2 linked regions of the Sus scrofa genome follow. The protein of the gene in region 2 interacts with the protein of the main gene of each other region in a pairwise test. Links are inferred from orthologs where the notes say so. Each region holds a gene or a part of one and is shown on either strand. Other genes may lie near its edges.

Evidence for each region. The genes of interacting proteins can lie anywhere in the genome.
Region 1: the proteins of A2M (region 2) and C2H11orf58 interact in a two-hybrid assay, tested with the Homo sapiens proteins (2 studies listed by BioGRID and IntAct). The link is inferred for Sus scrofa from reciprocal best matches to the Homo sapiens genes A2M and C11orf58.

What each region holds. Positions count from the first base shown.
Region 1 is NC_010444.4:42,361,712-42,365,870, forward strand, and holds the start of C2H11orf58 (small acidic protein), read right to left. Parts: upstream 2,812-4,159; 5' UTR 2,681-2,811; coding exon 2,618-2,680; intron 1-2,617.
Region 2 is NC_010447.5:62,405,731-62,409,734, reverse strand, and holds the start of A2M (alpha-2-macroglobulin), read right to left. Parts: upstream 2,808-4,004; 5' UTR 2,750-2,807; coding exon 2,664-2,749; intron 1-2,663. UniProt on the Homo sapiens protein: Is able to inhibit all four classes of proteinases by a unique 'trapping' mechanism. This protein has a peptide stretch, called the 'bait region' which contains specific cleavage sites for different proteinases.

The DNA of each region.
Region 1 (4,159 bases), on a different chromosome or scaffold from region 2:
CTGCATTCTGAAAAGAACATAGGTGCCTGATACATTCTTAGAGATTCTTCATCAGTTACTAAAATTAACCTCACCCTCTCTCCTACTTCCTGAGAAGATGGCTTTCATTTCTCCACTCCAATCAGACCAATGAAAACACTTTAAAATTGGCCTCATTCTTAATACCCTTATTGTAGAACTGCAATCAATTTGCCTCCTCGTCAGGACACACTGTAGTTAACTCTTAGAATTCATTCCTACCATTGTCAGCATCTAGGATTGGATTCCATTGGTTTGTTACACCATTTTAACATGTGATGTCAGTGGGCAAGGAAAACTTTTGATTGTAATTTACATGCAGATGTTCATTAGAAACTGTTGACCAACTACATATCTACTTAGTTGATTTTCTATTTTTATTTTGAAAATTATTTTTCTTTTTAGGGCTGCACCTGTGCCATATGGAAGTGCCTAGGCTAGGTATTGAATAGGAACTGCAGCTGCTGGCCTACACTACAGCCACAGAATGCTGGATCTGAGCAGCACCTGTGACCTACTCTGCAGCTTGCAGCAATGTGGGATCCTTAACCCACTGAACAAGGCCAGGGATCGAATCAACATCTTCATGGATACTAGTCGGGTTCTTAACCCACTGAGCCACAAAGGGAACTCCTGATTTCCTAAATTTAGATGTATATTTTAAAATTTTGAATATATTCTTCTTAAAATATTTTAAAAACCATAAGCACTTAAAGATAACTCCCAATTACGAACAAAAGTATGAAAGAAACTGACAAAAAAAAAAATCACTAGGGAGTTCCTGTTCTGGCTCAGTGGTTAACAAACCCAACTGGTATCCATGAGGACATGGGCTGTGGTGTGGGCCAGCAGCTACAGCTCCAATTAGACCCCTAGCCTGGGAACCTCCATGTGCCATGGGTACAGCTCTAAAAAGACAAAAAAGAAAAAGAAAAAAATGAAAAAAAATTACTAGAAGGGGGCAAATTACTGTATTGTAATAAATATAACATTAGAAACAAAATCATTTTAAGATAATGTGTGACAGTCCTAAGACCTAATCTTGAACCATCTCCTTCAAAGAGAATACTTATAGGACTGGAAAAGGTCTTGGGTCATCCAGTTTAAACTGATCACATCAGAAGCTGTAGAAATTTAATTACTTAATCCCTTTAATTTTGTTAAATTACCTAATATCACCAAGAGTTTTCTGTCAAACTAAAAGATTATTTCTGATTCTAGAAAAACAGGTGCCTGACATTCTAGCAATCAAGTTACAGTTAAATACCAGTAAGAAAACAACGTAATGGCTTTTAAAATGGCATCAAGTTACTCAAAAGCCTAGGTAAATTCCTGGTGAAATATGGGATTACCATATTAACAAGAAATTATCTCAAAGCCAGTTTTCGGGAGGAACAGAGGGCGTGAATAAATCTCACTAGACAACTATACATCCCCAAATCTTTACTCATTACTAACCTTTCTGGAGAGCTAAAATCAATTTCCTTGAAGAGGTTTACGGTAATTTAGGACCTAACCACACCACCTACCCAAAGAGCATCTCTTTTGCTACAAACAATGCACTAACAGTATTCAGTGAGCCTTTTATGGTTTGAAAAGTAAGATACTATCAAAGTGAACAGCACTATAAAAAATAAAGAACGCTACACATTCAGAAATTGAAAGCACTTTAAATAACAGAAAGAAAACCAGATGTATTCTCCTCATCCTTAACGATGAACTCTCCATGCCCCTCCTCCCCCGAATTTCCTCATCAACGTTTCCATGGCATTTATCTATTGTACGGAGTACGTAGTTTTACGTTTACTGGTTAGTGTCCATGACGCCTCTCTAGTTGCTAGTACAAATACACAGATGGCCTAGGATAGCACCATAGTTATTCATCTTTGAATTCTTAGCACCTGGCATAGCAGTAAATATTTAATGGTTTACTTTCAGGAATGAATGGTTTGCTATTTAAACCGATAAGCTGTGGGGAGAAGGAAGAGAACTCGTACTTGACATCAAAACCGGGCTTCTATGTTTCAACGTCTCTAGTTCTCAGCACCGTGCACCAATACCAAATTATTTCCCTAGTACAATTTTTTCCGCTCAATACAGTTCTTGTTTTCTCTTAACAGTAAAGTTTAACCCTTAACAGTACATTGCAAAAATAATCCCGGTCAGAAAATCTGTCCACGTTTGCACAAAGATCTTGACTTTATCATAGGAGCATCTGAAGCGTAAAACAGGAAGGGTCTTGCCGTTTCTATTCTGAGTAGAAAGGCCCCAAAAAGAAGCTCCATCAGCTCCCAACTAGGCTAATATGGTCCCTTGACTAGGCTCTTTCACTTCTCCACCAAGGTCTTTTCACTTCACCACTGAGGATTTCCCTCCTTGATTCCCCTTCGTACGCAGGCCTCTAGCTCTTAGCCTGCGGACATCTTCAAAAATTCCGACCCTAATTAATAAAACCGAACATTTCTCATTCTTCTGGACCCAACCCCTCGGCCCTCCCGCTTCAGACCACTACAGGCGCTTCCTCCTTCATCCACCCTTCCCGGCCTACCCCAACCTTCAGCAGGCCTCAACCCTCCACCACTTCGCCATTGTTATTTACATCGTCGTCTGGAGAGGCTGAACGCTTCACCCCGTGCGGATGGGACTCCCTGGCAGCACTCATAGTTGCGGAGACACCGACAAGGAATGCCGAATCCACTCGCTGTCTTCCTCAGACGCGGCGCCAGCAGCCTACAATCTGCCACCAGCCCAAGCAGCGCCACTCCAGAAGGCAAAGCCCCTCCGGGCCTTCTCCGCCAGTCGTCACCGCCGCGGCCGCTCGCCGCCTTGGAGCACTCTGGGAGTTGTAGTTTTGTTTCACTTCATACGCACCTGTACAAGAGAGATGGGTGGCGGGACTAAAACTACAACTTCCAGAAAGCCCAGCGGCCTAGCTCGCGCTGTTTGGCGGGAGTGCCCCCCGAGGCTCCGCCTTCCTCGGCTGGTGGAGGGACTTTTCCCGCGGAAGGGAATGGCGGTGAGCGTTAGCCCTTGATTTCGTCTCCACAGAAAGAGACTCAGCCTGGGTTTTCCCCATTTCACTGTGCGACGCTGCCCCATTGACAAACGCATTCGTTACAGTTAAGCACCTAGGTTTGTAATATCTGAGGTTTTATTGAGTCCTCGCGAGTACCCGCACTCCAAAACAAAAACGTTTCAGAAAAAAATATGGCTTCTACTTTTACCCTGTGAGCTCCATTGCTCGCAGGGGATTACTAAGTCGTCAATTTAGAAAATTCTCTATGAACATCTTCCTACTCATTCTCACCGAAATGAGTTCAGCTTTGGTGTTAAGTGCCAGTTAATTGGCTATTATTGAAACTAGGATCCACCTGAGGGAATTCTGTAAGCTTTCCAAACGGCTTTGTGTGAAGTGGCAGAGAACCTCTTCAACCTCGCTGTTGGTATGTAGGCTTTGCACTTTGGGGGCCTTCACTAAGTGAAGTCCATCTCTGCCATAAAGCCCTGTATCTTTTTCTTTCCATATTAAGAAATACTTTAAAAAATTGAGGTGAAATTCACATTACATTTAAAATAAACAATTTTAAAGCCTACAATTAAGTGGCACTTAGTTCATAATGCAGTGCAACCATCACCTCTAATTCCAGGACATTTTCATCACCTGGAAGGGAACATCAATTACCATTAAGCAGCCCTTCCCCCTTCCCCCTTCTCCCCACCAATCACCAGCCTGCTGGAGTTTTAATTCATGGAGTATTAATGTGTCTGAATTTTTAGCTGGACCTGAGCCTGACTGCCTTCAATCCTAACATTATGCCGGAATCCTTTTTTTCTTACTTATTCTGATGTTCAGAGTTTCGATTTATTATTTATTTTTTTTCCATGTTAGGGCTGCACTTGCGGCATTTGGAAGTTCCCAGGCTACAAGCCAAATTGGAGCTGCAGCCAGCTGCCTACACCACAGCAACGCGGGCTCTGAGCCGCCTCTGCAGCCCACGCCAAAGCTCATGGCAACACAAGGTCCTTAACCCATTAAGGGAGGCCCGGGATCAAACCCACATCCTCCCGGATACGAGTTGGGGTCTTAACCCACTGAGCCACAATGGGGAACTCCTTGATATTTTTTAGAAGCAAGAATCAG
Region 2 (4,004 bases):
TTATATGCCAAGCATCAAATATTGGAAGGCAGCATGGCTAGAGGTGATTCCTCAATAAACCATGCCTTCCTTCATGGCCTTATATAATTCCCTCCCCTTGAATTCGACCTTGCCCTACCTATTACTTGCTTTTGGAAACAGGTCAACAATGGAAGTGATACTAAGTGACTTCCAAGGCTAGGTCCTAGGAGACTTTTCAGTTTCTGCCTTAGTTCCCTGGAATGCTTGTACTTGGGACCCTCTGTTTCGGAATCCTGCTGCATGCTGTGAGACTCCTGAACTATCTGGAAAGGATGTGTGTTGACACTCTGGTCAACATTTCTAGATAAGCCACCAGGGGATGGCCAGCATGAACTATGTGCTCCATGGGGAGCTATTTTGGACACCTAGTCCAGCTGAATCTTCAGAGGACCGTAGCGCTAGTCAACATCTAACATCAACTGCAAGGGAGAACCAAAGTGAATACTGCCCTGTAGAGTGAACCCAGCCAAACCATAGAACCACAAGAGAAAAACAATAAATTGTTGTTTTAATTCATTGCATTCTAGATTTATACCTGGAACACATAGCTACTTGACTTGTAGTAGAGACTGGCTAGTTCTACACCAAATTTCTTTCCCTTTCCTCCTGAATACACTGATTGACTGTCTCATCATGTGACTGAATTCTGGCTAATGGAGTATAAGTAAATGTGATGTACATCATATCCAGGTTTGGCATATTTAAACTTCCTATGGGCACCTTCACTTTCTTTTATTCTTTGCTTGCTGGATGAGTATGCTTTAGAAGTGACACACTGAAAATGACAAAGCCTCCATCTGCTTGGGTTACTGTGCTTTTTCACTGAGTTTTAGAGTTTCACTGAGTTTAGAGCTGTTATAGCAGCTCATGTAAAATCAACTAAATACACAACTGGAAAAAATTGGCAATATTTTCTTTTGCATTTTACTTTTATGTTCATAAGTGAGACTGATATTTAATTTTCTTCTCTTTATTATAATCCTTATGATATTAAACTCTTTTTTTTTTTTTGGAAAAAGGAAGGATTTATTATTATTTGCAGCAAGTAAGGAGAATGCTAAGGATCTTTCCCAAACAGCATCTCTGATATTAAACTCTAAAGTGATTGTATGGGTATTCTTCTTCTGTTTTCTCAATAGCCTTTTTAGGATAGGGATTATCATTTCCTTGAAAGCTTGGTAAAGCTTTTCGGTAAAATACAAAATTATTTTTACAAGTCTTCTGTAAGTGAAGGAATACTCTTTACTCTTAATTCACTTTCTTTTAAGGTCACTGGTTTATTCAATTTTTCAAAATAATCTAATGTTAGTTTTGATAATTTGTACAATTTTCATTCTTCTAGGGTACTGTCTTTTTTTCGGCTAGGCTTTCAATTTACTACGTTATTAATGTTTAGAATACTGATTTTTGTTTTTGTAATTATATCATTTTGTTGGCTTCTGTTTTATTAATTTCTGTTTTTCACAATTTCTCTGTCAATGTTTTTTTTTTTTTCCATTTTTCTAGGTTTTTTTCTCATGCATTCCAACCATTTAACAATCTTGATTTTTCAATTCATATAGTTAGTTAAGGTTTGTAAAATACTTCTATGTGTATCAGGTATTTAAACAAATGAACTAGGTATTTTGATATATTATGTTTATTCAATAGTAAATTATTGGTAACTTTCATTGTTTTTTTTTTAAGTTTTTATGATGGAGAATTTCAAACGTACATAAAATTAGACAAAGTAATGTAATGAATCCAAATATATCCACAGTGTTATATGAACATAATAAACTACTAGAGTCACAATACCCAGTTCTAATGGCCAACAATCTGTGTCCATTCTTGCCTTACCTACATCCCATCCACATTCCCATCTACTTTCTTCACCAATTCACCTTTCCTATTATCATTTTGAAGCAAATAAATATTTCAGCATGTATTTCCAAAAGAAAAGAAAACACACACATTATTTTATTATACATAAACATTTAGCAAAAGTATTTTAATATCATGAATATTCAAATATCCAGCCAGTGCACATTTATAACTTTTTTGTGAAAATGTCATGATGTTTTTCAAAAAACTGTCTTTGGAATCAAGATCAAAATTAGGTTTATACATTATGATTGATTGATATACTTTTTCAATCTCTTTAATTCCGTAGGCTTGCTCTCCTCTCTTTCTGAGACAGTTATTTGTTAGAGAAATTGAATTGCTTGTCAGTTTTCCACAGTAGGAATTTTGTAAATTATATGCTCATGATATAATTTAACACTTTTATTACTTTCTGTACACATAGAATCTACAATATGAGTTCAAATGACTCCAAACTGTACATCTTAAATATTTTTATAGTCAGCATCTTCCATCTGAAACAAAAATCTGTGAAAGTGAGGTCTGTGGTTTCAGTGTCTAATCAAATCATGCTTCTTAGTGACTACTTATTGTATTTATGACTGTTATTGACTCAATGAAAAACACTATTTCAAGAATGTAGGGTACATGAATGAAAAAAATGTATTAATCTATTATAACTGTAAGTTACCTTAAGGAATGGAAGGGTAGCATTTCATAGGAAGGGCAAGGCAAAGATATCAGGGAGAGACTGAAATAAAAAACAGATTCTTGAGCAAGGGACTTGGAGGGAGACTTACGGTTTTGCAGAATCTGAGACATTGGCAGAAAATAGGGAGAGGAGAAACAGCATGAGACGCGAATGAAGAAATCTGTCTCTCTCCATAGCGAGGAGTAAATCGCAGGTATCGTTTCTCCCTGCCTGCTGCCTGCTCTCTGAGACATTTCAGATTTACCAGGTGTTATATGTGGCTGCTATTTGCAAACAAGCTCCACCCAAAATAGAGTTCACAGCTGGGCACAGATTCTCCTGAAAGGGTTGATGCTCTCAGTGATTGCCTCATTACCCTCAAGGCTAAACTCTGACAGGCTCTGAAGAATTTCCAGAGGATAACATTTACATTCTAGTAAGAATGACCTTTCTTTGACTTTGATAGCAGAGCTCCTGATGAGGGACTTTTAACTCACCTTTCTTTAACTCCTTCAAAATTCTTATCATCAGGTTTCAAAGAAAGTTGCCTTTAAAGGTCACAAAACATGTCACTATGTGGTAACTTCTTGAAGGCAGATTCATTTCTGGGACCGAGTGAGGTATAACTTTAGGGGGACTTCTTGACAGTGGATTGAGTAAGAGGCCCTGAGAGAAGGTAATTCAAAAAAAGTGCCTATGCTTCGCTAAAATTGCAGGTGTGCCTTACCTCCAGCACTCTCTCCTGGCCTTGCTCTAGCTGCAGGCAAGCCCTACTCGCAGCACTTTCCCTCTGTGTCATTAAAGCTGCAGATGCTCCCCATCCCCCATGTTCTCCTGCAGCCTTGCTAAGGTTGGGAGGTAAGCACAGTCTGCACTTACCATGCACCTAGTTTGGTGGCCAGAGGGACTAACATTCCCAGTCCCCTCCTCCCCCCAGGTCTCTAACAATTGGAAAGACAGTTCTAGGCAGGCTACCACATCTAGGTGGTGCACAGAAAGCAGAATGAAACATAATTCCAGTCTGCCTGTGAAAAAGAGATTCTCTTGTCCAGGAGCTTCAACCTGAGAGACAGGTTTCAGCCCTTCATATAGGACTACAGATATACTCGTAGGGAACTTGGGTGGGAAGACACCATCTTTGCACTCTCCCCTGGCCTTGCCTCAGCTTGCTTATATGGATATATATAAGTCCATTTTTTGCAACTGTTACCCAGGGGATTACTGTCCCCCACCCCGGCCCAGATCTCCTGGCCTGGAAGTCAGCAGGGTCTACCACTGCAGACCACAAGATTATATGTATTTACATATTTTAAAAGCTGCTGCGTGAAGACCTGGCTTTCAGTGAGCCTGAAACTAGGTCACTCTTTTGGAACACTGACAAGCCTTCAAATACTCTCAACACTGGGATCTATTAAGAATAAAGCCAGCTACTTAGGCGATCACAAAGGTT